Ovis aries: one gene and its partners. Each later gene encodes a partner of the first gene's protein in a complex. Links are inferred from orthologs where the notes say so. Each region holds a gene or a part of one and is shown in the gene's direction. Other genes may lie near its edges. The genes, in order: CLTC, GTSE1, ARRB1, DLGAP5 and CLTB.

Region 1 (5,755 bases):
AAGAAGATTATCAGGTAAAACATTTTGGTTCTTGCACATATTCTCAAAATTCACAAAATTTATTTTTTCCTCAAGATTTACAATTCTCAAAATTGTAAAGTTGGTATGTTTTGCAGTTAAAAAAGCCTATCATCCCTTAGGACTGTAAACAGTAGGTACTTGTATGCCTTGGATCTAAATTTATCAGGTTTTCAGGATTGATAAACATGATGTCTTCTAATTAAATGCCAAGTTTGCAGAGTCCAAGTTAATGCTTTAGAAAAATACTATGGTTACTTCATCTGTAAACATCTAGATTGTAGATTGAGTTGAAAAGTTTTTGATCTCTTAAACTAGTGTATAAACCTTATATGGTATTAACTTTTTTATTCACTGTTTCTCTTGCCCAATAGCTTATTCAGTACCTGTCTCTTAGTAAACTTTCCTTTGTGAAGAATTTTGCAGAAATATAAAAAAGTTAAGGTTAAGCTAAATTGCCTTTTCTTTCTCTTCTTGTCAACATGATTTTCTTTCAGGTGCAGACCCAGTGCTGATCTCTATGACTGAATACCATGTTGAATTGTATCAGGAGTTTCCCTAGGGCATAAAATCTTACCCTCCAAATTACAAATCTTTGCAGTTTCATAACCATTCAAGTTAGTTCTTGATACCAAAAACCTTGGAGAAAATTGTTGCCTAGAAATTTTATAGTGCCTTCAAGGACCTTATTGTTAAACAGTTAGATTGAGCAATGTTGATACTTGTTCATAGTATAACTTTATGGTTTGATTCTTGAATCTAGGCTGTCTTAATTACAATAATGGCTGATTGATCAAGTCTTATTAAACATTCATTATGCAAGATACTGATCACATTACACGCAGTCAGTTATATACAGTAACGGCTCATTGATCAAGAATGATGGAACATAAAATTTAAACTAAAATGAAATACTGGTTTGGCATTACAGTGGCTTTCTTTTATTTTTTAAGGCTCTGAGAACATCGATAGATGCTTATGACAACTTTGACAATATCTCACTTGCTCAGCGTTTGGAAAAGCATGAACTCATTGAGTTCAGAAGAATTGCTGCTTACCTCTTCAAAGGCAATAATCGCTGGAAACAGAGTGTAGAGCTGTGCAAGAAAGATAGCCTGTACAAGGTGAAGAAAGATGGTGGGGTGGGCCTATTAAGCCAAGAACTAGATGATCTGTGTGAGTCCTAAGATGGCATATTAGAAGTGATTATGGTCTATAAAGGTATTAGTTTTTGCAAATATGGGAATTGCCTTTAAGCTCCCAGTTGAGGAGATAATAGTTATGTCACTTCTTAATGTTGGAGGCTGTCATATGCTTCTGTCAGACCTCTCTGTTAAAAAGAGAATGCTTTCCTCTGTCTTCCTTTTCTTTCAGGAAATCCTTAATTTAAATGATATAACTGAGTTTTTTTTCCCCCGTTGCGTTATTTAATTTATCAGTTCATCATATTTGAATTTAATGTTTGACTTACTTTCTTTCCTTTAAATAGGATGCAATGCAGTATGCCTCTGAATCTAAAGATACTGAATTGGCTGAAGAGCTCCTACAGTGGTTTTTGCAGGAAGAAAAAAGAGAGTGCTTTGGAGCATGTCTCTTTACTTGTTACGATCTGTTAAGGCCAGATGTTGTCTTGGAAACTGCATGGAGGCACAACATCATGGACTTCGCCATGCCCTATTTCATCCAAGTCATGAAGGAGTACTTGACAAAGGTAATGGCGCCTCTGAGAACTAATCAGCCTGAGGATATGTAGAATCCATGTATAGACTTTGTTTCCAGAGGTTTTCTCTAAATAATTTAGTTGATCATGAAATATTCCTATTCTCCAGTAGTTTTTAATACCTGACAAATGACATTGAATGGAAAGGTAACTCAGACATATCTTGGCAAAATGTTTATACTCAGAATACCACAGAATGTATTTCTGAGCAGCACATAGTATTACGTCCATATTGTATGGGTTTCTGTCTTTGTTTTTTTTAAACATTTGATAGAAACATTTTGTGTTAAAATAATGTCTTCCTCAAATCAATTCTTGTAACTCAGATGACCATTACTTAGTAGTGTAGATTCCCTTCTCTTTGGTTGGTTCTTGACTTTAATACGTATGCCTGTTTCCCATGGGAAAGCTTCAGCTGTATTCTTAATGTCCTGTTAATCTTCTCAATATTTTGATAGTTTAACCCCTTATTAAAAAATATTGCAGGAGGTTAACAATTAATGACACATTTCCTAAAAGTGCGTTAAACAAGCTGGGGGTATAATCATCTTATAAGATTAACTTATTCTTCTTAGTATTTGTTTTTGATGTTAGGATGTTTTTACCCTGTCCTGCTGTGGAGCATTTTAAAATGGTCCTAAAGGATCCATTTTGTCAAAGCAAAACATGCTTATTAAAGTCAGTTTTGCGTCTGGTCTTTTCAGCATGTCTGAGTTAAAGGCGTGTGTCAGGGTGGGAGGTGCACTACTAACAACCCCCAGTGTGGCTGAGCATTTCCTTGGGCTGCCATCCAATTAGATATCATTGTGTTAAGTTACAGTTTTTTTGAGAATTAACATTTTTCTGTGTAGAAACTGCTTAAATCCAGTGTAAGAGGAAAAAGAAAGTTGTCTTACCTTAGCCACAGATGAGAATAGCTTCTTTTCTTATGCATAATGCCAACTTGTGAGACCTGGCTCTAAGCTGCTGTTAACTGAAGTGCTGTAAATTTTACTAGCGATTAAGCTGCTTTCTTTCACACTTGACTCTAGCATAAATTCTTCTGCAAATAAACTCTGAAGTTAAAAAAAAAAAATTCTGAGTTTTGCTTCCAGTATGCCCTTTATTTTCACTTCTCTCATACCTTTTTTAGTGGTTAGATGTTTCTCCCCTAAACCTTTGTTGCTGATTCTACCTTTTTATGCTCAATATGGAATTTGATTTTTTTCTAAGCTGCACCTTCTGAATTCCTTTGCAGGTTGATGCAATAAAGGAAAAGGTGAAAGTTGATTCTTTTCCATCTTTAAGTCTGGAGGACTAAGTCTAAGGAATTTGCATGATTTTTTTTCCTTCCTTTTCTACACTGCTGCTTCTGCTTTTTCCCCCAATAAATTTTCACTAAAGCCTCTGCAAGTCCCTTAAAATATAACTATAATAGAGCTCTAGGACATTAGTAGATGTTTGCTACTAATCGGCTAATAGGCTTTAGGAAGGGCAGGAGGCTAATCAGTAGTTGGTTCACAGTCTCTCTTAAATATATTATTAAAAACTGAGCATGTTGAGTTTCCATATTAATTCCAAAGTTCCAGGAGATTTCTCTTCCCTGTCAGGGTATCTGGACCATAATAGGATTTATCAATATTCTAAGTAAAATTAAACAGCCTCTGGTATTATTTTGTGAGTGTGCCTGACAGTTGTTGAATTTAAATATGTATATATATATGCCCTAAAAGGCTTTTTGGGGTTTTTTGGTTTTGGGTTTTTTTTTTTTTTTTTTGGTATTGAAGGACTGTGATCCAGTTTCTGATCTCTTGATTCTTACTAATTTTTTGCTGAAAGTAGATACAAGAGATACTAGCTGCTTCCGAAGAGACTTTCCTCATGTTTCTCCAGGTGTCCAGTTCTTATGGTGCTAGTTCATTTTCAAGAGAAATCAAAACTTTTACAATCATCAGATTAGCTTGCTATAACTGTTGCTAAGCAACTGGATTATTTCTGTAAAATATGGAACCATATTAACTTCTGCTTTCTATAATAAGGTACATCTCTGAAGCTACAAATTTGCTGTTACTCATCCCTTTGGCTTGTCCAAAGTCAAATTTAGGCACCTTTTGGTTGCTGCTTCCTTCATTGGCTTGTCTCCATCCCCGTATAAATGAAACAAACTTACAAACTTGTGTCTGGTATCAAATTATGGTGAGAAAAGGGTGGGAAGATAAAGGACAGTTAAAACAATTTAAAATAATTTGGAGGGGGGAACAGTGCCTTGGAATTACATTGAACCAAACTGGAGTCACCATTGGAACTTAGGGCAAACCTGAGTAAAATGCATTGTGTGTGAGGCCCTTCAGCAGCTAGTAAGCAAGGCAGTTAGAAAGCGTGTGTGTGAAAAATAGGTAATTGAACTGCAGTGTTATGCGTTGTTTTAAATCAAGCATGTACAACAGTCATTGCAATTACATCATACTACTTTTGAAACTCTTAAAGCATTGCTGTGGGCTGTGTGTGTTTCTTGAGAGCCTGTATAGCAACAGTCATCTTCAGATCTCACTTCTTGCTTCAGTACTTTTGCCTTTTTTTCATGCACACATACACCAAAATAACTGACTGCATGTTAACTTTTCCTCTGCAGCGTATTGCAGTCTCTGTGGAAAAGCCTTTTACATTATCATGAATATTCAATAGTACAGATGGAACTGAACTCAGTGACATGCTTACCTGTAATTTTTCTTTTTTAATCCAAGGATCAGAAACTTTTGTTACAGCTCTTAACAAAAGCTTGTGTTCATAAAAGCCTTCTCTGCTTTTCTGTTTGGAGGAGTCCAAATTGGGTCATTGGAAACAATAATTGGATATTGCTGAGCCAGAGGCTGTCCCATTAAATAGAAAAATCAATTTTTGCTTAGCATGATGCTCCTCCTTCACAGTTGTTACTTTTTGTTTTGTCTCTTTGCCCAACCTGCCTATGTCTGTGCCTGGGCATTATGACATTGCTAGCTCTTCTAAATCTTTAACAGACTTCTGTCTTCAACATCCGACTCAGACATTAACTTTTAAACACATGTTCACTTTAGAATCTTTTCCTTGAAAGTCTGGCAATGTGTTATTCAGTGGGTTTTTTTGTTTGATTTTTCTTCTTAGACGTTATTAATGTACACTCATCCATGTACTTTTTAAAAATAACTTCTTTAGCTCACTCTTGGATACTTAGCAAAACCCCATCTGACTGTCCTTGGTGGCGCAGATTGTACTTTAGATTAGAGAGCTGTAGTCATTTTTGTTTTTAAGTTTGGGTGCCAAACAGTGAGTGTTTCTTGTGGTACTTATACTCCATAGTAGTCTTTAATTTGATAGTGGGGTAATTTTAACACATGAGCCCTTAGGTGATAAAATTTAAAAAATGAAATACTCAAGCAAACTAATAACCCATCTTCCCAGGGTAGAAAAACCACATTTTGTGTGAAGGTGTCTGAGTCTGACTCTTACCACTTTTCTCACATTTTGCTCCCTGACAAATTAGGGTAAATTAGACCCACATTTAAGATACTCACTATAAAACAATTAAAATACATGTAACATACTGTCCTAACCTTAATGGCCTGTGTAGGATTGAAACACTGTTTTTAAAATAGTTGCAAATAGAAACTAGGTTTTGCTTTAACCTTTCTGGGACCAAGTCTTTAAAGCCTTTTCACTGAAGTCCTGCATGTCTTTTTTTTGTGAGTGATTTTTCACTATTCGCCTTTTTGAAGGACATGGAATGAACACTCATAAAAAAGTTCTGCACTCTGCCTCCCCATCTCAGCACCCCTAGGACTTTGAAACCCTCTAGTAACAGATAACACTGAGACTTGAAATTTAGTTTACATCAAGTGTAATGCTATACTAACGACAAGACTCTATAGTCTACAAGACAGATACAGCGCAGTTTAAAGGCAAGTGGAAGTGGTATGGGGGAGATTCCCTGGTCTGTGTCCTGCTGCCATACTCCCTAGTCCTTCACAGAATTCCAGATTCCAAGTCATGCTGATGCTAGAA
Region 2 (6,492 bases), on another chromosome or scaffold:
TCTCCTGGGGCTTTAGTGACACTGATTTGGGTTGATTTTCTCTTAATTCTAAACTGCACATTGTCAACGATGATTCTTAAAAAGTTTTTACTTCGCATGGGAATACAGTTGATTTATGATATTGTGTTAGTTTCAACAAAGTGATCCAGTTACACCTATACGCACGTCTGCTCCTTTTCAAGCTCTTTTTCCATTTAGGTGGTTATAGACGATGGAGTAGGGTTCCCTGTGCTCTTCAGTAGGTCCTCGTCGATTATTTTTGTCAACCTTGATTTTAATCACACGTATGCACACTCGTATCTGCTGTGCTTTCTGAGGTGTGAGGATTGAGTGTGGAGGCAGAAACCAAAGCCTTGTGACTTGGCTTTACCAAGATCTGAGCCAGTGTTGTAATTGCTGCCTCTGTCTCCCTCCCCACGGGGAACCCGGCCTTGACGTCCAACTCGGTGGTGCTGTGAGAGACAGTCTCAGCCCACTGGAGCTTCTCAGGTTCCTTCAGTGCAAACTGAGATTAGGGTAGGGACTCACAGGGCAGGGAGGGGGCAGGTCTTCCAGGAGGCAGCAGACACCTCTAAATCGACTGGACACATTTCCTGGGGTTAAAATACATTAGTTGATTGGCTCCTTTGCCTGACTGTTACTGGGTGGGCACCTCTGACCCTCCTCCATGTGCCAGGCCTGGGCTGGGTCCCGGGCAGACAGGCTTCTCTTTGAACATGGGGGTAGGTTAGGGCAGTGAGTCAAGAGCAGAGTCATTACAGTGGGATCTCAAGAGAGGTGCTGTCTGCCCCCAGGAGTTAGGGACACATCCCAAGGGGAGCCTGCCCTCCCATTCTGAGCTGTCCCTTCCTGCCAGTTCCCCTGCTCATACCCTATATGCCCTCCCCTCTCCTGGTTCCAAGCAAGATACAGCCTGGCCAGGGGAGCCAGAACCCTGGCCCCCCCCTCCAGGAAGGCCTCCGGCCTCCCACTGCAGGCCAGGGTCCCACAGTCCTTGCTATTGCACCTTTCTGCCCAGCTGTGCCCTCCCCATCAGGGACATCTGTGTCCCAGCATCACCCAGCACGGAACTCGCCCTGACTACCTGTCAGTGAACCCATGACTGGTGAACGAGCCCTTGAATGAGTGCATTACAAAATGAAGCAGAATCCTACTGGGGACAGGAAGAAAAGAATCGACAGTAGCTAGGCCATTGACAGAAGAGAGGAGGGGCCCACGAGAAGAGCTGGATGAAGGCAGAATTCAGTTAGCCGCAGTGAGTTATTAACAATTGGTGTGTTCACTGACCGAGTCTCACGTGCTGACATGATACAGGGGGAGGGGGATTGGGAGTGGGCGTTTGGGGACCCTGGCCCCCAGCAGACACCCCCAGGGCTGTGTGGATCTGACACCTGGGTGAATACCCCTTGAGTCTAGGACCCACTGGGCTCTTGCCACAGTGGCCCTGTGGTCATGAATCACGCGAACCCAGGCCTTGGGACCATGGGCTGAGCACACACACTAAGCCGGCCATTGTTTCAGGAGGCCCCGGCAGGCAGAGGGAAGCCTGGGGCCCCGGGCGAGTGGGCTCAATAAAGGCTCCTGTGGGAAGCTGAGCAAGACCCAGAGTGGCTGCTGGGGGACAGTTCGACCTAGTGCCCTCCTTCAAGCCCCTCTCTCCATGCACGCCTGCAGCCAGGGCTGCTCCTGGGCTTCCCAATTCCAGCCAATAAATTCTTTTTCTGAAGCCAACTTGAGGCTGGTCTTCTGTTACTTGCAACCCCGGGGCTCGTGACCAGTATCTGCAGCTGGGATTTGCCTTGGGTCTGTCTGGCCCCATCTCTCTTCTGCAGTTAAGTAGGCTCCTGAACAGGTGATGGAACTCAGAAGGGAGCCGGTGGACAGAAGCTCAGGAGGGTCGAGGGGTGCGTACCCAGCACGTCAGAAGTGAAGGCAACCGCAAAGAGCGAGGCCGAAGGCTGCAGAGGGAGCCTCTAAATAGAAGCGAGGTGTCAGGGTGCTCCAGGGGCATAAACTGGGGTGCCTGGTCATCCAGAGTCACCGGGCGCTCCGCGGGCAGGGACGGGGTTCTCTTGCCCCCAGAAGGAACCCGCAGAGCTCTACGAAGCGGGCATATGCACCTATTTCCTACCATAGGGGTTGGATCTTCACTTAAGGATGGAGATCTGGTGTCGTAACCATGTCCCCTGCGACACGTAGCTGTCCTGATGCCGAGCCTACGGAGACACAGGCCAGCCCTAAGGCCCCCAGCCCAGTGTGGCCCGGCTCTGGCCGGACCTCGGGCACGCGCAGCGAGCCACGACAGTGCGCACGCGCGCCACCCTCTTTTTTTTTTTTTTTTTTTCTTCTCCTTGCGGCTCTCACTACAACCCCCAGGATGCACCGGGCCCCGCGGCCTTTCAAACCGGCCAATCAGCAGCCCGCAGCGCTTCCTGCGCGCCCCGTTTAAACCCAGGGCGCAGGCGCATCGGCTGGGATGTCGCGGCGGCTCTGGGGTAAGGGGGTCGCCGGGCGACTCGGGTGCGGCTCTGTCTAGGGGGGGCAGTCAGCGGTCCTCGGGGCGGGCGGGTCGGGCCAGGTCGGGGGCGGCGGGGCCCCCCTGGCGCGCTCCGGCGAGGCTGAAGGAGGTCTTCAAGCCGAAGACCCCCGGCTTGAAGCCCAGCCGGGGAGGTCTGGTTGTCCGGATCCGGGGCCCCGGTTCGGGGTGCCTCGGATGGCGCCGGCCCAGAGGCGAGAGGGCCCCGGGGCGGAGGGTCTTGGGCTGCGGCCGCGGTGGCCTCTGCCGGCCTCGCGGTCTCTCCCTAACCGGCCCTCTCTGCCCAGCCGGTGCTGCAGTGGCCCGCACGGTGAGGGCTTCCCTGGGGGGCTAGGGGAACCCCGGCTCCGACACCCGCCCCGCTTCTGTCTCCTGCTCCTTGCTGTGACCTCTGACAGCCCTGGCCGGGGAAGGAGGAAGCGACGTGCCTTCAGCCTGCCTGGCCCCCCCAAGAAGCGGAGATGGAGGCTCCCAAGAAGGAAGGTACGTCCTTGTCTCCGCAGCTCTGTCGGTCTGGGGGGCTCAGGGAACACGCAGGTCGATTTAATGCTCCTGCGAGAACTTGCTGGTTTATTTATTCGGTACTCATCCCGCTCTCTGCGCCCCGGTAAACTCCCTGTCTTCCCGGAGTTTTTGCATTCCTCTGACTTCTTTCTTTTCCGGGTTTTCTACATTCCCTTTACCCCTCAGCTGTGACTTCTAGCGGAGCAGGGATTCTTCTCCGTCCTATATACTTCAGTGTCCCCAGGGCCTGACATACTCCGTAGGCACTCAGGTCTGTGGAGCTGATATTGCCTCTTGGCTGGTTGCTGGTGTCTGTTTGCTGAGACTTGTCCAGGATCTTTACCAGCACATCGGGCCAGTCAGCCTGGCCTGTAGCCTTGCTGTCTTGTTCTGTTCCTGTCTGCTGTGAATGTGAAGTGAGAGCACAGCCTCACAAAAGGAGTTACGGGCCCTGCCCTCTTTTTCTGCTGAAGCGTGGGGACATCTTTATAGCCTTTGTCTTCACGACATGTGTGCGAGTCAGGGAGACTGAGTACCCCAGTTTCTCCTTAATACCCCCCTTCTGCAGAAGCAACCACAAGACTGCTAGTCATCAGCGCCGCTTCCTCGGGTCTAGAACAGGGTTTGCTGCTGCAGCCTGACCTCCACCCTCGCGTGTATGCCCTCCCTTTCCTCCACATGCAGCCGAACCCCTGTTGCTGCTTCCTGAGGACTTCTGTGTGTCACCCTCCTTTATATCTTTATATCTTTTCTTGTCTGTTCTTCATGCTCATCACGCTCATCACCGATGTATAAATAGGTCCCGTTGTCCGACTTGCCCTCACGTGCTCCACGCCCTCTCCGCTGCGGTGTGCCTCATTCAGAGCCAGACTTCAGAGCAAGAACTTTCCCCACTTGTTTCGCTGCTCTTTTCCACAACCTTCAACCCCTCTGAACCCTCTCTGCCCTCTCACTTCACCCAGACTGCCTTTGTCCGTCACTGAGCACATCCGTGTTGCGAAATCCGCAGTCATTTTTTCTGTTCTTTCAGTGACTTTTGACCTTTTCTCCTACAGGAAACTTGGCCAGCTTGGCTTGTTGCTTTTCCTTCTGTCCACTCTGGCCGGTATATCTCCAGCTGTTTGCAGACTTCTCATTCTGTCCCACCTTCTGAAGCCAAATTCCCCAGGACCTGGTCTGGGGTCTCTCTGAACTCCCCCTCCCCTCCTGCAGGTTCTCAGACAGTCCTTTAACCCTTCCATCTTCTGGTGGTGCCCACGTTTTGTCTGGGGTGCAGCCTCTCCTCTGAGTTCTGGGCTTTGCATCCACCTAGCTGGCTGGCGTCTTCACGTGAATGTCTCCCACCTCTTACTCAGCGGGTCCCACCTCCCACCCCATTTTTGGCTGGTTCTTTGTCTTTGTGAAAAGTGAAAAGAAAGTTATCACTCAGTTCTGTCTGACTCTCTGTGACCCCATGGACTGTGACCACCAGGCTCCTCTGTCCATGGAATTCTCCAGGCAAGAATTCTGGAGTGGGTTGCCGTTTCCTTCTCTACTGTCTCTGTAATAGAAGTCGATTGCCTGTCCATTGACCTAGCTGAGAAGGTTGTGAAGCATTTGTTCAGTCATCAGTTACTGTCATTTCCACGGTGTGTTTTGGATCCATCTACCTCTTTCCAGCTCCACCCGAATGCCACCACCTTGGTCTCAGCCGCATTAACTCGCCGCCGCCTACATGTATATTTTGCACTTTAGCCAGTGTGTGCACTGTAATTTCAGTAGATACCGCCTGCTGCTTTTATAGCACATCCAGGGTGTGCTATAGGCCACCAGGGTGGCCTTTTAAAAACAAAAGTTAGAGCACAACACTCTTCTGCTTAAAACCCTTCGATAGCTCCCGTTGCACTCTGAATAAATTAAAAGCTTGCCATGGCTTGGATGCCACCCAGGATCTGACCTGACCTGTGTCTCCACCTCCTCCAGCCACTGGCCTCAGAGGTGTCCCCACTTCCCGGTGGCCCCTCCCCACACCACCTTCCAAGGTGTGTGCCCGCTGGACAGTGTGCCCCCGAGGAGCACCTAGCGGAGGATGCAGCCCATGTCTGCAGAGTGGATGGAGGGGGCAGCTAGCCCAGGTCACCCTGAGCCAGTGGCGGAGCCTGGTGTGGAAGGCTTTTCCCTTGACTCCCGGCCCAGGATTCCTTTCCCTACAGCAGATGTTTGGAATTTTCTGGTAGTGACCCATGAAACTGACTCCCTAGGTTTTAGGCACATTGGAAAGTGAGGAGTCCATCTCCTCCTCCTTTCTGCCCCTCCGCTGCCCAGTTACCACCTCCAGAGGCCACTGACCTCGGCCTCCTGGGCAGTCCAGACCTGACTTGTGCACGTGTCAGTCCAGCCCCCCTCTTCTATAGCAGGTAGAACCCTGGGCACCATCTTGGGTTTTGCCTCTAATTTATCTTGATGAGCTCTGTGTATCAATATAGGAAGTGTTGCTGCTCTTCCCCGAGCCCAGGTCTTCTTGCATTCCACTGTGGGGCTGTGCTGTGCGCTTATCTGCCATCGGGGAACTTGGCTTTGTGGCTGGTGTCTCGCCATTGCAAATGCTGCTGCAGTAAACCAGGTGGGGTATTTGACAGCAGCAGTAGGCTTCCCGTCAGGGTGTGTGCGTTTCTTTCTTGGTAGGTACTGTCAGGCTACCCTCCGTAGAGCTGTAGTAACTTACAAATCAAACTTAGATTTTCAACAGTCTTACCAGTGAAAACTGGAGTCCTGGCCGTCTCTGAATTTTTCATGGCTCTTGCTTTTGAGTGTGACTGAGCTTCCGGTCGTGCGTTTCAGAACGTCCCCTTTCGCCCCCGTGCCTCGCTTTGCTCCTGTCCTTTGCCTGCTCTTCCCGTGTGTGGGGCGCTCGCCAGCAGCCCTTGCGATGGGACCGCCCGTGTTCTCTTCCCTGTCTGCTGCTCCTGCCAGCTCTGCTTGCGGTGGTTTTTGTCACGCGAGACGTTACATCTTTAATATATTGGGCTATCAACCTGTTGCTTTATGGCTTCCAGCACAGTGTCAGAGTTAGACCTTTGCACTCCAGGCTATACAGAGATTTCCCTGTGGTGTCAGAGTTAGACCTCCGCGCTCCAGGCTGTACAGCGATTTCCCCGTGGTTTCTTGTTCCTTTTGGGTTTCGTTTTTCCAGTTAAGTCTTGGACCTTTTGGGGATCTGTCCTGGTATAGTCTATGAGCTATGGGTCAAACTTCAGGTGCATATATTTCTCCCTCTCAGAGGACTATCCAGTTTATCTCAATACCGTTCATTGAATAACGCGTTTTCCCCTTTTATCTGATATGTTACTTTTATGACGCGCTAAATTTTCTTTATATCCATCTTGCATAGTTCTTGTTAACTCACAGGCGTTTTGCATTCTTTGGTGTATAGTATATAGGGTCTTTTCTTCCATTATATCTTCTGCTCTTTT
Region 3 (5,755 bases), on another chromosome or scaffold:
GCTTGGCATGGGTGGGGCTGCCCTCCCAGGACTGGAGCCTTAGATCCCAGCTCTCTCACACCCTCTGGGATTCCCCAGGTGGGAGCTTCTGGCTCTAGCCCGAGGACCACAGCACTCAGGGAAGCTGAGACCTCCTTGGGAGATTTGGGGAAGCCTCTGGGGACTGAAGGGGTGACAGAGGAGGGGCATGAGCCTGAAGGATGCGGTTGACTTCAGAAGTCAGTGTGCCTTCTGAAGAGTCCTGGGTCCTGGCCGTCTCCCTGCATCCCCATCCCCCTTTGAAGTGTGAGCACCCCCTCTCCCTCTTGGGGGCACAGTGAAGGCAAGTGCTTGGGCCGAGATACAAATTGAGGCTTCAGTGAGGTTTCAGAGCCAGGGACTTGATGTATCACTTACTCCAGCCCCTCCAATGGACAGCGGGGGAAACCGAGGCTTAGATAGCCTGTCCAAGGCCTTACCACTCTCATCTTTATTATTGTTAGTATTACTGTTATCATTACTTTTGGTGACCAACCCAGGACTGGAACCCAGGATTGTAGTGTGCTTAGTCACTCAGTCATGTCCAACTCTTTGCGACCCCGTGGACTGTAGCCCACCAGGCTCCTCTGTCCATGGGGATTCTCCAGGCAAGAATACTGGAGTGGGTTTCCATGCCCTCCTCCAGGGGATCTTCCCAACCCAGGTCTCCCGCATTGCAGATGGATTCTTTACCATCTGAGCCACCAGGGAAGCCCAGAGCCTAGAATTATTACCTTCTAATTCAATTATCTTTCAAGGTCCACAGAGGAACTTAAGTCTAACATGCCTGGTGGCTTAGCATCAGTGGGAAGTGACTGATGAGCTTGGGGCCAATGTCAGAGTGGCCAAGGCCTGGGGAACCCCAGGAAATGTGTGTGGGGCCTCATTTCCCTCCCCTTCATCTAAAGCTTTGGAATCTTTCCCCTCTCCCTGGCTACTTCTTCCACCTCCCAGATCTACTACCATGGAGAACCCATCAGCGTCAATGTCCATGTCACCAACAACACCAACAAGACAGTGAAGAAGATCAAGATCTCGGGTACCCAGGCAGAGGGCCAGTCCAGGGGACGGGCAAGGGGACTCCTTCCAGAGGTTGGGGGCAGCCGAAGGCTCTCTCTTTGCTAACAGCCCTGTAAATAACTACTAGCCTGAAGGGAAGACTAAGGCCTGCTCTACGCTGAAGGGTAAGGCTTTTGAGGCTGGTAACGCAGGCTGCTTACTGGCCAGGTAATGAGTTTCCTGTTGAAGCCCTTCTTCTAAGTTCCCTCGACAGAGCTGTCCTTGAGGGGGAGATTTTTGGTTATGGAAGGAAGTGGGCCTGTTCAGGCTGCCCTTTGGGTGGAGGATGGGGTCCATCTCCTGCAGAAACTCCTGGTGGCCTCTGGCTGTTAGCTGGGGCTGAACATCCTAACTCAGAGAGCCTGGGACCCCTGGACTCACCCACCTCGTTTCCTTCTTTCTCTGCAGTGCGCCAGTATGCAGACATCTGTCTGTTCAACACAGCCCAGTACAAGTGCCCTGTGGCCATGGAAGAGGCTGAGTAAGTGAGCACAAGCCCAGCCTTGGACGGGTGGAAACAGCTGGGGAAAAGAGAAGCCCTGGGTCCAGTTACAGGTCCAGTAGCTCTTCTCCACCTCGCAGAGGGTCTGGCCTTAGACTTGCTGCTCAGCGTAGTTGGCCCTGAATAGCTTTTTTAAAAACCACCCAGCCACTTGGTTTAGCTACAAGGAAATACATGCTTCAGTCAGGGTAAAGACCCACTAAAACTAGAATGCAAAATAAGAGCTAGTGAATCTGCGAGGAGTGGGGCTGTGGAAACCTAGATTGCCTGGAGCCTTCTGAATTGGGGTTGCCGCTGCCCCCAGTGTGCAGAGAAGGAAGTGGGGGCAGAGAGATGTGACTTGCTCAACCTCACAGGGCTGGCCAGTGGCAGCTGGGGCTCCAAGGCTTGCTGCACCCCAGCTCTCTTATTGTTGAAAAGGGGTTGCGGGGTGGAGCAAAAGTAGGTAAAAACTGAACAACCCAAACACCTTACACACGATGGACAGAGATGAGATACAGCAAGTAAGGTCTTCACTGTAGAACTTAGGAGGTGAGTGATCACTGCACAATTCTTTCAGTTTTCCTATATGTTTGAAATTTTTTCATAGTAATACGTTAGGGGAAAAACAGGCCACACTCTCTCCACTAAAAAAAATTATCCTAGTCATACAGCACAGGGCCAAACAGTACAATGAATTTTTAAAAACTTGCAGCTGCTTAGAAACCACGAATGAAGCTGATGGATCACCTCAGAGTCCCTGTTGTTTGCATGTGGAGCAGAGATGTCCCCTTTTGGGTGGCAGTGGTCTCCCTGCCAGAGCTGGTCCTAAGGGTGGGCCCTTCACAGGGGAGGGAGGCTTAGAGCAGGGCTGGGCTCTGTGTCCTGGGTGGGCCGGGGGTGAGGCTGGGGGTGGCTCTGGGGGCATCTCCACACTAGTCCCCTTCTTTCCAGTGACACAGTGGCACCCAGCTCTACGTTCTGCAAAGTCTACACGCTGACCCCCTTCCTGGCCAACAATCGAGAGAAGCGGGGCCTCGCCCTGGATGGGAAGCTCAAACACGAGGACACAAACCTGGCCTCCAGCACCCTGTGAGGACCCACCCTCCCTAGTCCCAGGCTCCCCACTGTGTGTTAGTCGCTCAGTCGTGTCTGACTCTTTGTGACCCCATGGACTGCAGCCTGCCAGGCTCCTCTGTCTGTGGGATTTTCCAGGCAAGAACACTGGAGTGGGTTGTCGTGCCCTCCTCCAGGGGATCTTCCCCACCCAGGGATCAAAGCCGGGTCTTCTGAGTTGGAGGCAGATTCTTTACCATCCTCCCCCAAATGGATCCACACCCACCTTGGTCCCAGCAGGGCCAGCACAGGCTCAGGCTACCCTCTCCCTGACCATTGGCCAGGGCCCGTCCTCATGAGCTTGAACTGCCAGGGAAGCTGTCGCCCAATCCCACCCCTCTCCAGGGGCACCCAGAGAACACGATGGACCACTCCACCCGGCACCCTTAGTCAGTGCCTTGCCCTGGGGAGGGTGACATGGAGAGGCTTTGTGCAGGAGGCAGCTGCTCCTGACCTGGTCGTGTCTTCAGCTGGATAGAGTGCGTCCCTGAGGCAGAGCAAGGCTGGAAGGAAGGATGGAAAGAAGGAAGGATGGAAAGAAGGAAGGAAGGGCAGGAGGGGCTTCTGGAAGGGTCCTGGGAGGAGAGGATGAATGAGGACAGGGTCTGGGAGTCCAGAGAGATGAGGGTGGTGAGCTGGGCTCAACCACATGTGGAGGTGTCTTGGAAGGAAGGGATCCCAGGGATCTTACCCCAAGATCACCACTGCCTCTCTGAGGCCACCCTGCTCTAATGGACACCGGGGGTTATGAGGACCCCTCTTGCCCTGCCTGCTGAGGTCTGGCCCTTCTTGGGGCCTGACCCACCTCTGCAGCACTTCTGCTCCCGATTCTAGTCCATACGCTGTCTCACCCGCCCTTGCATGTGCTACCCACTTCCCTTTTCTTCCCTGACTCAAATCCTAGTTGCCTTCAACACCTAGTGAGCGCACCACCTCCTGCAGGGTCTTTCCCTGTGCAGGCTCCCCTCCCTTCGTCTGCCCACTGCCCTCTCCTCTCTGCCAGCAGCAAGAGAAAGGGAAGCCACCCTGCAGGAAGAGCCCACCCCTCACCTCCTTGCTGGGACTCGGCTCTGGGAGGGAAGGAGCTGGTTCCCAGCGCAGCACAGCCAGACTTGGGGCCCAGCGCTCTGAGTTCTTGCTCCGCAAGGGCAGGCCTCGCCTTTCTCACACACCGGGCTCCGCCTGCACCTGGTGGCTGAGTGGTCAGGAGAGGGACCTGTGGTGCTGCCCTGGCTCACCCCATCCTGCCGTGTCTCACAAGACCCATGAACCGGCTTCCCTACTTCGCCTTGCAGGTTGAGGGAAGGAGCCAACCGGGAGATCCTGGGCATCATTGTTTCCTACAAAGTGAAGGTGAAGCTGGTGGTGTCTCGTGGTGGGTGAGTGCTCCAGCCCAGCCCAGCCCAGCCCCCAAACGGTGGGCGGGAAGGTCCCTGACGGCCACACCCAGTGCCCCATTCTGCCTGCTTGCCGGATCTTGCCTTGTTCCTCTTCCTTCTCCTCCACCCTTTTCCCTTTCTGCTTCAGAGGCTTTCAGCCCCTCTCTTTCCCTCCCCTCTTTCTCTCCTCCCCCTTTTCTTCATCCTCCTCTTTTAACTCCTCCTCCTCTTCCCCGTCCCTGGTCTGGGCACATGGGAGGTGGCGGGAACTTCCTGAGTCTGTGCTGTGGGGTTTCCAAGGGGTGCTGTGCCCCTCATCACATCTCAGGGCACAGCACCCACCATACCCCCACTTATGCCCAGGGTGATCTGCTGGGGAAGCGGCTCAAGGAGCTCAGAATCCCAGAGCTGGGTTGAGGGTGCTCTGACTGTCCCATTTTACAGACAGGGAAACAGAGGCCAAAACAGTTCCCCACACATTTCCCCAAATCTCCTTCTCTAACCTCAGGTCACAGGCTGGGTGCTGGGGTAACGACAGTAAACCAAACATATTCCCTGATCAGAGCAGAGCCGGGTGGAAGCCCAGAAAGAACTCGCGCTTTTCCCCATATACTGAGCCAATAGGTTGCTGTCAACCTAGAATTAGGATTTCTAATTTGTCAGAGGGATTTTTTTAAATTCATAAATTTCTTTGAAAAGATTGGAAAGCTAGTAGCATTAGATATCAGGTCTCCTTTATTTTTAGAAAATGCCTCCTGTGGTGGTGGTGTATAATACTGGCGATGTATTACAGGACATCTCAGAATTGCAGATCTCAAATCCTGTGTCCTCTGACTCTTGCAAGACCCTGGGGTCTTGTGCCTCAGGCTCCTTCTTGAGGCATCCTCAGGGCATCCTAAAGTACTTCCTTCTGCCATTGGATAGCCCCAGCTTCCCCAGAGCTGGCAGCACAGGGCTGAACTTGTGTGTCTCCTTTACAGATGAGGACCGTGGGGCTGCCCTCGCAGGGAGTTTGGCTGAACCGGGCCTGTTCAGTCCCCCTGGCAGGGCTCACACCACTTCTGTATATCCCTGATGAGCGGTTATACCTGGGGTGGGTGGAGTGTGTCCCTGGGTCTAATCTACCCCAAAGTGTGGTGAATGAACTTGCTTTCTGTTTTCTTCCTCTCTGAACTCTCTCCTGACCACTTCTTCCGCCTCCTCTGACCCACCCAGCCTGTTGGGAGATCTTGCATCCAGGTAAAGCCCCTCCCTTCAACCTGATCAACCCACCTTCCTGAAGGGCCCAGAGAGCATTGTCCTGACTGTCCAGAGCCATGGGCCCTGGGTAGGAAGGACGCTTAGCACTCAGTTTTTTGATTGCCAGGCTCAGGCACGTATGGGGACTAGGACTCTCTCCGGAGGGGCTGGGGGGGTGCGGTTTCTCCTTTCAAACCTTGCCCTGCTCTTCCATCCCATCCAAGTGACAAGGACCTTTGCAGACAGCAAAGTGGGCTTCGGTGATCTGGGAGTGGCCCCCAGTCAGTCTGTTTTACAGGATGTTTTGGATAAACTCGGGCTTCGTGGCTTTCAAACCCTTCTACATGAATGAGAACTAACTGCTGGCTGAGTGTTGCTAAGAAGTCCTGAGGAGCTCTGCTTCTGTAGACAAGACTCCTTGGAACCAGCTGGATCCACATGCATTTTCCACAAATTCATGTGC
Region 4 (4,639 bases), on another chromosome or scaffold:
AATGCTTATTTTCATTGTAATTCTTTTAGATTGCTGTTTTTATGTCCTGTTATTTTATTTGGAAGCCCCCCGACCTTTACTTTTTAGTGACCTCTTGCCTCTAAGTCTAGTCCAAACATTTGCCTGTCTGTGAAGCCTTCCTGTAAAAGCTCTCATCTCTCATCTGTTCCTCTGTAGACAAAGGTGTACAGTACATGCAGTACACACATTTAATCTCTTTTTGAGAGTATAATATGAATAAACTATTGCATTCGTAAAACATACGATGCTTTCAGGAATCTATTTCCCTTATTAACTGTAAGTTCCTCTTTGGGCAGAGCTGTCTGATTCATATTCATGGATGCTGGCACTTAACATTTAGGACATAAATGGAAGCGTGCTCTCTTGCCTGCTGAGTCTCTGCAGCATTGGTTTTCAGCCCCACTCCCAGATATTTTTATTTCAGTGATCTGGTTTTGGACGTTCACCAGGCAATTTATGTAGCCAGGGTCAGCAACTCTGGTTTACAGCCTTACCTGGAAATTTTCCAGGGACAATTGTTAAAATGAGTCAGAGAATGGGCTTTTTTGCTAATCTTCAATCTCAGAATATTAAAAAATCATTAAGGCAAATGTAGAATAAAACAGCAACAGTTTTTGTTAATCTCACGAAGCCTGACGAATGCTTGGCTTTCTTACACCACTAATTCCTTAAGGACCTCTGACTATGTTGACTTTTTATTATCTTTCAAAGCTGCCTTCTCCATATTCAGCCTTCAGGGCTCGCTGCATCTCAGGAGCAGAATGGTTTCTGTGACGTGCACTGTTCATTCTTGGTTTCAGCCTTCTTTACTCAGAGGCTGACACCTAGACGGACAGGGATTTCAGCATGAGGCCAGTTTATAGAAACCTGATTTAATCTCGTTCCCAGTTCTCAACTCTACATGATTGGTTCTGATAATATGTATTATAAATAAGTCTAGAAGTTAATCATAACATTCTGTTTTTTGATATATTATTAGTAATATAATTAAAATTGCTTCACAGTTATACATTTTCTTGTTGATAAATCTTAGTATCTTATAACTTAGTCTCCCTGTGAGTTATTTTCCATTCCCATAAATATTAGGATTTATATTCTAGGATCTTTTTAATAGATATACCTTTAGACCCACACGATTACCAGCATAATTTAAACCTGAAGTAGGGCTTGAGGGAGAACAAAGAGAAGGATCCTGGCAGGATCACACCAGTAAAAGTTCTGCTAATTACAGTGATGTGGACTAGGGTGTGTGGAATCTGCCTAAGTGGCTTCAGTTTTAGTCACCCTGCATACGTTACTGAAGTCTGTCACCTTTTAAGGCATGTATTCCTTTTTAGAAATATTTATTTTTTAAAAATTTATTTTTCACTGGAGGATAATTGCTTTCCAATGTTCTGTTGGTTTCTGCCACACAAAAGCATGAATCAGCCATGAGTATACATAGGTCCTTTCCCTCTTGAATCTCCCCCTCACCTCCCATCCCATCCCACCCCTCTAGGTGGAGCTTCCTGTGTTATGCAGCAACTTCCCACTAGCTAGCTGTTTTATATATGATAATCTATATATTTCAGTACTTCTCAATTTGTCCCACCCTCTCCTTCCTCCACTGTATCCAGAAGTTTGTTCTCTATGTCTGCATCTCTATTCCTGCCTTGCAAATAGGTTCATCAGTACCATTTTTCTAGGTTCCATATATAAGGTATATATTCCTAATATACTTTTCAATTTTAAAAAATCTCTATTTTGAAATTAGATCCATGGAGGGTAGCATAACATTATGTTACTAAGAATTTTATCATTGTGTACAAAAAATGTTGTTTATATTATTAATTAATCCACTACTAATTTGAAAGATTGAACACTCACTTGGTAAAACTCTTGATAATTACTTCAGTGGCTTCTCTTAAATTTCTTCTCTAGCCAGGCCTGAACTGCAGTAATACATTCATTCAGGTGGAGAGAAGACATCAAGAACAGACCAGACACATTTCCTTTGGTGGTAACCTGATTTCCTTTTCACCTCTGAGGCCTCTCAGTGGAGAACAACCAGAAGAATTTTAAATTTAAAAATAAATCCAGACATCTTTCTTCATGTCATCAGTGCTGTGTTCTTAGAATATTGAAAAGTTGAAGAGTGTTTGTGTTCAGTGCTGTTCAAGCTACTTGTAGACTGTTGACCCTCCTTAGGTGGATGCAGAACCTGTGGATACTGAGAGCCTGCTGTTAAGAGATTTAAGCATCCTTGAATTTTGGTATCTGTGTGTGTGTGTGAGGGGACGGGGGTGATCCTGGGACCAATCCAACCACCCCCCTCAGGATTCTGAGGAGTCATTGTGTAATATTTTAATATTCAGTGTTCATCAAAGTGTATTTTAGCTATGATACTATTTCTCAAGGGAAGTGGGGATATGTTATATATTAACCAATGCAGAATAAAAATGTACTGTGCCTTGCCTCTCTTGTTTAAAATGTATAAGCTTAAGTATATCTGCTCAGAGCTTACTAACATTCTTCAGTTTAATTGAAATATAATGTTAAACTTTGACAAATATTTGCATTCTTTTATACTTTATTCTTAGTTTGAACTCTTAAATTTGTTGATATTGAATAGCTTACATATTGCATTTTCAGGGTATGTGGAGTTTCTTTAGCTATCAATCAGTATATTTGGAATACTTTCTCCTTTATAAAACTCTTGACTGTAGGATTGTAGAAGACAGGGGCATCAGTACGACAGAGCACTAAGCTGACTCATAAGTAGCGGAAGCTTCCCATCAGACCTGGGGCCAGTTATTTCTGTTTGCAAATGAGGTGAGTATTGGGGGTATTCACTGAACAAGCAGCACCTTTATGGATAATTCTTTAAGATGAGGGCCTTCCAAACAAGAAAGGAAAAGCACATCCACTTTTGTTAGAGGAAGTTGTGTTGGGCTTGTAGAAAAGACAGTATTATCAAAGTTGGGAGTTTTCTAAGGGTCCAGGGCCATGAACATGTAAAAGAGATGAGTACAGAGCAACCCAAGACTTAGTACATACATAAAGCGATATGTGATGTAACAATAAGATAACATTTGCCCTCAAGGATGAAGTCAGTGTGTGCATACTCGGTTGTGTCTAACTCTTTGCAACCCTGTGGACTGTAGCTTGCCAGGCTCCTCTGTCCATGAGATTTTCCAGGCAAGAATACTGGAGTGGGTTGCCATTGATAAAGTAGATGAGACTAAAACAATGTCAGTCAGTAAACATGATTTTTTTTAGGTTTAATAAGATGTACTGTTGAATCACTTAGAAAACTTTTGGCTGTTAAAGTAACAATGCAATGAACTCCAATTGGCTTAACAATAGGAAGTTCATTATTATAATGTTGTCATGGTGATTTCAGGCACTTCACAGTCAACAGCTCAATGATGCATCAAGGTCCAATATCTGTTCACAGTTCATTCTGGCATCCTTGGTGTCAGCATCTCTAACGCTGGGTGCTTGGGGGTATAAGATGGCTGCTAGTGGTAATCAGAGCTATGTCCTTCCCTTTAGTTTGGTTAGGCCAATTAATGCCACATCTCCATCTGCATCTCATCTGGGATTTACTTAATCAGGATTCCCTGTTTTACCTGGGATTATATCTGGGTAAAACCAGGACTGTTAGGTAGCAGGGAATGAGTCAGGTAGGCAGCCGTCATTATGCCCTACAACTAGATGGAGTGTCCTTGGGCTACTGGATTCTAGAATTATGAGGTATCAAGAAAACCTTTAAAGACAAAATGAAAGAAAACTGGGTAGAACCAGAGCTTTTCCAAAAATGAAAAAAGAAATGAGATGAAGTAAAAATATGAAGGCCTGTCCCCCTCTTGACAGCTCTAAAGGATCATCCCAGCTCAGAATCCCTGTAGGGTAGACTGAGGCGTAGATGCTCCACTTCTCTCTCTGCGCAGTCATGTACTTTCTTGCCTTCACAGCTGTTGAGAGAAAGGGCATATCCTCCCTCATAAACCTCCTGCATTCTGATCTCTGCAGGAGATCATGGTTGAGAAGATGGTACTGTAGAAACAGTAACAGATCAAATAATATTTTGGTTTTCTATAAAATGAAGTGGTCTGAGCATATCCTAGTTTTGAAATTATATTAATCTTTGACCTTCCTGGTAATGAAGAAGGGCAGAAAGGCATGGTTGATAGAGTATTGACAATGGGATTTTCAAATAAAAACCTACTTTTTTCCTTCTACAAATCTGGAGATTTCATAAAACCAAAAGAACCCAGAGGAAGATTGATGTTGGTATAAATTAATGATTTGAAACCGTGAAGTATAGTTTAGAGAGATAAAATAGTTAAAGTCCAAAAGGTTATATGTATGTAAACTTAGCTTTTCTTATTTCTTGAATATGTTTCCTTAAGTAAAACAATAGAAGAATGATTTTTTTGTAGTATCCATTGGTTTTTACCAAACTCTAGAAGAGAGAGGTTAATTTTGTGGTAGTATTTACTCCTGATTTCTTTTTAAAAATATAGTTTCAAATATTGAAAACTGGGAGACTCTAATGCAGTATTAACATTGCCACATATTTCTTTTTCCTTTAAGTCCATTGTGTATTATCAACAATAAATTGCCCCAATTAAAT
Region 5 (6,525 bases), on another chromosome or scaffold:
AATGGATATTCAGGACTGATTTCCTTTAGGATGGACTGGTTGGAGCTCCTTGCAGTCCAAGGGACTCTTAAGAGTCTTCTCCAACACCACAGTTCAAAAGCATCAATTATTTGGTGCCCAGCTTTCTTTATAGTCCAACTCTCACATCCATACATGACTACTGGAAAAACCATAGCCTTGACTAGACAGGCCTTTGTTGGCAAAGTAATGTCTCTGCTTTTGAATATGCAATAGACCAATGCATATGCAAATGACCAATAGATTGGTCATAACTTTCCTTCCAAGGAGCGAGCGTCTTTTAATTTCATGGCTGCAGTCACTATCTGCAGTGATTTTGGAGCCCCTCAAAATAAAGTGTGTCACTGTTTCCATTGTTTCCCCATCTATTTGCCGTGCAGTGATGGGACCAGATGCCATGATCTTAGTTTTCTGAATGTTGAGCATTAAGCCAGCTTTTTCACTCTCCTGTTTCACTTTCATCAAGAGGCTCTTTAGTTCTTCACTTTCTGCCATAAGGGTGGTGTCATCTGCATATCTGAGGTTATTGATATTTCTCTCGGCAATCTTGATTCCAGCTTGTGCTTCATCCAGTAACTTGTATAAATTAAGCATGTAACTAATTTTGCTGATGGTTACATTAGGAAGGAGCAGGAAGGAAGGAGGAACTAGTTGGGCAGAGTGCCGGCAGAGGCATTGAAGTCTCCAAGAACCAAGCAAGTACATCCACGGGTGATCACAAAGGGCACACAGTGCATTCGGTAGTCCTTCTGCCTCTACAGGACTTCCCTGGTGGCTCAGATGGTAAAGCGTCTGTCTACAATGCAGGAGACCCGGGTTCGATCCCTGGGTCGGGAAGATCCCCTGAAGAAGGAAATGGCAATCTACTCCAGGACTATTGCCTGGAAAATCCCATGGACAGAGGACGGGTAGGCTACAGTCCATGGGGTCGCAAAGAGTCAGACACGACTGAGCGACTTCACTTCACTTCTGCCTCTACAAAGCCTGGAGTTGACATTTAAGGCTGGTTTGGTAAACTAGGAAACTTTCCAGGTCTTCTCAGCACCTGAGGCTGCAGCTGGGGTAATGAGGAAGAGGAGTGAGATGAGTGATGGTGGAGTGCTGAGCTTACACCAGGTTGTGCAGAGCCTGAAGTTTCCTTCTTTCCCACACTACTGATAAATGATCATATTTTCATCATAGAAGTGAAACCTACATGAAAGTATTACTGTGCAAAACTGAGATTGTCCTTCAGTTTAACTTTGCTTCCACTTCCCACCCACTAAGGGAACCCACTGTTAGGGGCGGCTCATCTTTCCTTTCTATTTTGACCTTCAAATTTCAAATCAGAAAGAAAAAATCCTAAAGATCTGATGGTGGTTCTTCCCCCGCCGCACTCCCCAAGCCTGTGTTTAAATGTCACAACACCTATCACTCTGAAAAAATGTCTGACCATTTCCCATCTGCTGGGCTTCTAGATTGTAATCTCCCCATGGCCAGAGCTTGGGTTTTACTATGTTTTGAAGTCTGTTTACTCAGGGTGACTGAGTGGAGGAGTGGTAGGCTGCCTGGATAAGCTGGGTTTGCCTTCCTCAATTTGGTTCATACTCGCTGCTACTGCTAAGTCACTTCAGTCCTGTCTGACTCTTTGCTACCCTATGGACTATAGCCCGCCAGGGTTCTCTGTCCACTGGATTCTCCAGGCAAGAATACTGAAGAGGGTTGCCATGTCCTTCTCCAGGGGATCTTCCCGACCCAGGGATTGAACCCGGTTCTCTTGAATTGCAGGCAGATTCTTTACCGCCGTCTGAACAACCAGGGAAGCAAGGGACATTGAAGGGATCCAACCTCCAAGGAGAGACCCCGTCAGGTCACACAAACTCTGGTGGCCTAAGCTGAAGTCTCCAAATGAAGGGATATGCATAAGAAATGTACGGAAACAACATGGTTTTGTGGGGAAGACCCTGGACTTGCAGGAAGGATGCAATATAGCGGTGGGTCTTAATGTTACCTTTCCAAGGCTCCTTCCTGATAACGGGGCTTCGTAACACCCGCCGAGCCTTGGAGAAGAAACTTGTGCAGAATGAATCAGGAGGAGCCAGGTTGCGCTGCGACCACCCCCTCGGTGCTCCTGAAATCCGGGCTGCCAGCCTGCGGTGACCCTGTACACGCGATGGTCCCTTGGTCCCATCTGCTTCGCCTCCGGACCCGGCAGGAGCTGCGCCAGTCCTGTGTCCTGGAGACGCGCGCTGGTGGCCGCGAGCGGGTAGCGCGGCCCCGGGCCCCTGGGGCTGCGCCGCCGTCCTGCTGCCGCCCTCCTGTGGCCGCTGAGAGGCGACCTCCGGCCGTCCTGCGGGCCTCCTCCCTCGGCCGGTGACATCACCGCATTCCCGTCCCGGCTCCTCCCGCCTGCAGCCGCAGTGACAGGCGAGCCGGGCCCGGTGGCGGAGAGGAAGTGTGGGGCCGCCGCGCTGAGCCCGTCCCCGCCGAGGCCGAGCGGCTCCCCCCGGGGTGCTCGGGTGACAGTGCCGCGGCCGCCGGGCGCAGCGCGGGGCACGCGCCGGGCAGAGCCGAGCACCAGACGGACGCTTCGGCAGAGACGCGGGGAAAATGGCTGATGACTTTGGCTTCTTCTCGTCGTCGGAGAGCGGGGCCCCCGAAGCGGCCGAGGAGGACCCGGCGGCTGCCTTCTTGGCCCAGCAGGAGAGTGAGATTGCGGGCATAGAGAATGACGAGGGTTTTGGGGCACCTGCCGGCAGCCAGGGGGGCCTCGCGCAGCCGGGACCCGCCAGTGGGGGTGAGTCAGCGCGGTGGCCTGGGTACTGGGGGTTGGCGGGGGGGATCTGGGGCTCTCACCCGGGGTCCTCGGCCTCCGGGCCCTGCGGTAGAGCGAAGAAGGCCTGCTATGGCCAGCCAGAAGCAGGCCTGGGGCTGTATGTGTACCTGAGGGGGACTTGGAGAAGGAAATGGGAGGGGGATCTTGTTGTGTTTCCCATCTGAGGCCCCGCCTGAGGCTGAGGATCTGGTGGCTCCCGGCATAGAAATTCGTCATGACATTTCATTCCCAACCCAGCTCTGCCACTGCCTGGCTCTGGAATCCAAAGCAGCCCAGCCTTGAGCTTCCCAGTAGGCTTGCTGCCCCGGGCTGAGCCCTGCAGGTGTATACAGGACCTCAGACCTCCCTGACCCTTGGACTTAGCTCCCTCCTTCAGTTGGGAAAGCAGCAGGCACTGGGTGCTCTAAGAACTTACAGACTTGCCTGGAGGATCACCTGCCATCCTGTGGCCACTGTTCTAGGCACTTTACTTAACATTCCATCATTTCCTGTGCATTATACACCCATTTCAGAGACGGCAGAACCAGGGCTCAAAATGCACACTACTGAAAGAACTAGTAAGTGGCAGAGTGAGGGCTGAACCATTTCTCTCAGACTCTGAATCCTCTCCCCCTGGCCGCAGTGTCTTCCATATGCCAGGCTCTGAGGCAGACACCAGTATGGGGGCAGGGGCACAGAGGGCTTCAGTCAGATGTGATCCTGCCCTCCTGGGTTTGGAGCTTAGTGGTTTTGCAAAGGTGGTCCAAGGCTATTGGGGTTAGCTTCAGGCTTGGGGTTTGGGGCCTGGTCCTTGCAATAGCGTGTTTATCAACAATGTTTCTGCTCTAGTTCTGCCTGAAAGAACAATCTCTTAAAGTTAGAAACTAGCTATCATTTTCATGGGTGCATCTCAAACAGCCCTTGTTTCCTGTTAATGTTGTCATTTTAGTGGGGGTTTATGGGCCTGTCAGAATAAGTGTTAGCTTACATATTTTTAAAAAAATGTTTACAAGTAAAGCTTCTTATAGTTATATTTGTATTCAACATTTACTGAGCACCTTCTGTGTGCCAGACACAGTGGGGATACAGATATGAATAAGACAGTTCCTGTGGCTTGAGGGGCTCAAAGCATCTCTGTATCCTCTTCGTGTGAGAAATGTAACAAGCCCTTTGTCACATGTAAGAAACAGGAAGCCCAGAGAGCCTGAGGGTCTTGCCCAAAGTCACACAGCCGTGAGTGACAGATCTGGGACTAGGTCTCAGGCCTCTCAACTCTGGGCTCCACATTCTTTCAAATGCTGTGGCAATCACCCTGGGAGGTGATGGGGTGTGGAGGTGGGAGGATCTTTTGCTACCTAACCAAGTCAGCAGTGGATGTCTTCTGAAGGAGCAGCAGCTTCTAGCACTTTGGCACACCCCAGGGAATTCCTGGAAAATATGGGCCCACATCTTGAGACTACCAGCTTCCCCAGTCAGGTTGGCATGGGAGAGGCCCTGCTGGGAGAGCCCATGTCAGAACCATCTAAGAGAGAAGCAGGGAGAAGTCAGGCAGAGGGCTGCAGATGTGGCTGGGGTTTGAATAGGCTGTGACCTCTCCTAGGATGGTGGGACTCCAGGGATTTATGGCCTGGATGGGAGGTTCCCTCTCCAGCAGGGGTGGTACAGGTTGGCCCCAGACCAGAGGTGGCAGGGAAAGCAGCAGGGACATGGCCCTCTGGGGGTCTCCCGGACTCACAACCACTAAAGCTGCAAATGTTCAGCTACCCTGCTGAGTAGAGCACAGGGATCTGAGAGGAGTTATGGGATGCAGCTCAATAGGTGGCCAGATAGGATAGAATTGATCTGACCCTCCTAGGTCTAGATGGTGATGAGTAAGTAATCCCCCAGGGATAACTGCCAGAAGCCTGAATAAGTTGCAGAAAATGTGCCTTAGGCTGCTGGGAGCTGGATGGAAGCTCCTGCAGCCAGCACCACTCATCACTTCTGAGTCTTGTCTCTTAAATGATGCCCTTGTGCTGAGTGCCCTGACTTTGGGGACAGGGGGTGGTTCCCTGATGGCTCAGTGGTAAAGAATCTTCCTGCAATGCAGGAGATGCTGGTTCAATCCCTAGGTTGGGAAGATCCCCCGGAGGAGTACGTGGCAACCCGCTCCAGGATTCTTGCCTGGAGAATCCCATGGACAGAGGAGTCTGGCGGGCTACAGTCCACAGGGTCGCACAGAGTTGGACTCGACTGAGCTCACAGGCATGCATGTACATCAGGGGAAACCATTTAGAGTAGGCCTGAGTCTGAGCTTCTTTGAGTCCCTCCTCTGGGGCTGGAGTTGCGGCCAGCCTGAGCAATGGATACTTCGTTTCCATTCATCAGCTTGGGTAGGGCCCAGGAGGTTTACATTTTCACACCCAGATTTCTGTGTGCCCCACCTGGCTCTGCCCTGGACTTGCCCAGTCACTTCCTGGGCAAGCCCATTTCCCCCTGATGTGACTCAGTAAGCTCCCAGGAATATTCTGGACCCCATCTGTCCCTGTCCCAAAAGGGGATTAGGGATCTGAGGGAAGTCTCAACCACGGCTCATGCCTGGGACTCCTATCTGCTTCACTCCTGTTCTGCCGGCTTTGGACTGGGCACGCGATTATTAACGTGCCGTGGGCTGGTCAGAAAGCACTGTGAGGACAGAGACTCATAATTTCATGTGTGGGCGTGTGTGGATTCCCAAAGAGGCTGAAGCCTCATTTCCAAAGGGCAGCACCCATGGGATGGAGAGACTGGGTTGCAGAGACTTCCTAAAGGACAGGGTGGGCCCCTGGCTGCTCCTGTGGTTGAGGGGTCTGAGACTGGGACTGGTCAGGGTGGCGTGGGGGGGGGGCACAACTTCCCCTCCAGAAATGCCAAGTACACAGACTGGCATTGTGAATGGACCCTGGTAACTTCACACTCTGGTAGAGGAAATGCCCCTGGAGAAGATGCTGCCACTGATTTAGGGACCAGGCCACGGTATAGGAGAAACTCCATCTAAATGAGCAGGGAGGACAGCTGATAACTGTTGGTTAAAATCGATCACTGTTTGAAAACAAAATTGATTATAATTTATATCTGCTGGGTATTGTTTCCATGGGGTTAAGGATCCCTCCCTTTAGTCCCCAAGCTGAAAGCACTGTCACTGTGACTCACGGCTCTATCTGGCTGGTGAAGTGTACTTGTCCATCTGGGATGGTCTTGTACAGCCTCCCTCTGCTCCTGGCTAAGAGGCATTGCAGTTTCTGAGAGTCCTCAGGCCTTGCAGATAACAGCGGGCCCCCAAAGATCAGTTCAACTTCCACTTCGCCAATACTGACTGCTCACCCATAGGAGCTAGCTGAATGGAATACAGAGCCTGATAAAGGGAATGCATGACCCATGGGAGGTCACAGTAATCATGTAAGAGGGTGGGGGGTGCTATACAGTGTTTGAGGATACTCCATGGTAGTTGAAACCTTCCATCAGTGCTTAGGGTAAAAGAGGAAGCAGTGGAGGGCTTCCCAGAGGAGGTGACTTGTGAACTGGGCTTTGGAGAATGACTAGATCCCCAAGAGCATTCTTTGGTGAGGGAAGTAGGAAGAAAGGCATGGAATGTGGCATAGTGTGTTTGGGGAAGGCGGAAACCAGAATAGGGTTTGTGGGAAGGACTGGTGGGAAGTGAGGCAGGAAAAATGGGCAGGGCCAGATTGCAAAGG

The links.
Region 2: the proteins of CLTC (region 1) and GTSE1 are in contact, whole or in part, in a crystal structure (PDB 6QNP), measured with the Homo sapiens proteins. The link is inferred for Ovis aries from reciprocal best matches to the Homo sapiens genes CLTC and GTSE1. Residues at the interface, in NP_004850.1 of Homo sapiens: Val50, Arg64, Pro65, Ile66, Ser67, Ala68, Leu82, Lys83, Ala84, Thr87, Gln89, Phe91, Asn92, Ile93, Lys96, Ser97, Lys98, Asp143, Arg144, His145, Trp164, Gln182, Leu183, Tyr184, Ser185, Arg188, Lys189, Val190, Ser191, Gln192; in NP_057510.5 of Homo sapiens: Ser686, Arg687, Pro688, Leu689, Ile690, Asp691, Leu692, Met693, Ser707, Pro708, Val709, Val710, Gly711, Gln712, Leu713, Ile714, Asp715, Leu716, Ser718.
Region 3: the proteins of CLTC (region 1) and ARRB1 are in contact, whole or in part, in a crystal structure (PDB 3GC3), measured with the Bos taurus proteins. The link is inferred for Ovis aries from reciprocal best matches to the Homo sapiens genes CLTC and ARRB1. Residues at the interface, in NP_776448.1 of Bos taurus: His12, Leu13, Gln14, Gln16, Asn17, Leu18, Gly19, Val50, Asn56, Asp57, Pro58, Ser59, Asn60, Ile62, Arg63, Arg64, Pro65, Ile66, Ser67, Ala68, Lys78, Ile80, Leu82, Lys83, Ala84, Thr87, Gln89, Phe91, Asn92, Ile93; in NP_776668.1 of Bos taurus: His30, Ile31, Asp32, Leu33, Val34, Glu35, Pro36, Pro96, Thr98, Arg99, Tyr173, Pro175, Lys355, Thr374, Asn375, Leu376, Ile377, Glu378, Leu379, Asp380.
Region 4: the proteins of CLTC (region 1) and DLGAP5 are in contact, whole or in part, in a crystal structure (PDB 7ZX4), measured with the Homo sapiens proteins. The link is inferred for Ovis aries from reciprocal best matches to the Homo sapiens genes CLTC and DLGAP5. Residues at the interface, in NP_004850.1 of Homo sapiens: Val50, Arg64, Pro65, Ile66, Ser67, Ala68, Leu82, Lys83, Ala84, Thr87, Gln89, Phe91, Ile93, Lys96, Ser97, Lys98; in NP_055565.3 of Homo sapiens: Gly833, Asn834, Leu835, Ile836, Thr837, Phe838, Ser839, Pro840, Leu841.
Region 5: the proteins of CLTC (region 1) and CLTB are in contact, whole or in part, in a cryo-EM structure (PDB 6SCT), measured with the Sus scrofa proteins. The link is inferred for Ovis aries from reciprocal best matches to the Homo sapiens genes CLTC and CLTB. Residues at the interface, in NP_001139599.1 of Sus scrofa: Gln1291, Arg1293, Gly1294, Phe1296, Lys1326, Phe1327, Gln1354, Ala1355, His1356, Pro1382, Thr1383, Glu1413, Phe1414, Lys1415, Pro1416, Leu1417, Gln1444, Pro1446, Leu1447, Thr1473, Glu1474, Glu1475, Glu1503, Leu1504, Ile1505, Arg1508, Leu1533, Lys1535, Met1538, Lys1562; in XP_005661527.2 of Sus scrofa: Pro100, Ser102, Trp106, Gln110, Leu114, Ser121, Thr124, Glu125, Trp128, Arg129, Ala132, Asp135, Leu136, Trp139, Val147, Asn150, Lys151, Asn154, Arg155, Asp158, Tyr162, Glu191, Trp192, Lys194, Val195, Leu198, Cys199, Asp200, Phe201, Cys209.

What each region holds. Positions count from the first base shown.
Region 1 is NC_056064.1:10,341,414-10,347,168, forward strand, and holds part of CLTC (clathrin heavy chain 1), read left to right. Parts: coding exon 1-14; intron 15-971; coding exon 972-1,142; intron 1,143-1,507; coding exon 1,508-1,729; intron 1,730-2,975; coding exon 2,976-2,996; intron 2,997-5,755. UniProt on the Homo sapiens protein: Clathrin is the major protein of the polyhedral coat of coated pits and vesicles. Two different adapter protein complexes link the clathrin lattice either to the plasma membrane or to the trans-Golgi network.
Region 2 is NC_056056.1:222,511,379-222,517,870, forward strand, and holds the start of GTSE1 (G2 and S phase-expressed protein 1), read left to right. Parts: upstream 1-2,440; 5' UTR 2,441-2,495; intron 2,496-2,823; exon of another isoform or gene 2,824-2,934; 5' UTR 2,935-2,997; coding exon 2,998-3,019; intron 3,020-6,492. UniProt on the Homo sapiens protein: May be involved in p53-induced cell cycle arrest in G2/M phase by interfering with microtubule rearrangements that are required to enter mitosis. Overexpression delays G2/M phase progression.
Region 3 is NC_056068.1:53,211,123-53,216,877, reverse strand, and holds part of ARRB1 (beta-arrestin-1), read left to right. Parts: intron 1-972; coding exon 973-1,057; intron 1,058-1,485; coding exon 1,486-1,558; intron 1,559-2,512; coding exon 2,513-2,650; intron 2,651-3,969; coding exon 3,970-4,053; intron 4,054-5,268; coding exon 5,269-5,292; intron 5,293-5,755. UniProt on the Homo sapiens protein: Functions in regulating agonist-mediated G-protein coupled receptor (GPCR) signaling by mediating both receptor desensitization and resensitization processes.
Region 4 is NC_056060.1:65,697,727-65,702,365, reverse strand, and holds the end of DLGAP5 (disks large-associated protein 5), read left to right. Parts: intron 1-1,941; coding exon 1,942-2,082; 3' UTR 2,083-2,570; downstream 2,571-4,639. UniProt on the Homo sapiens protein: Potential cell cycle regulator that may play a role in carcinogenesis of cancer cells. Mitotic phosphoprotein regulated by the ubiquitin-proteasome pathway.
Region 5 is NC_056058.1:35,592,399-35,598,923, reverse strand, and holds the start of CLTB (clathrin light chain B), read left to right. Parts: upstream 1-2,416; 5' UTR 2,417-2,607; coding exon 2,608-2,794; intron 2,795-6,525. UniProt on the Homo sapiens protein: Clathrin is the major protein of the polyhedral coat of coated pits and vesicles.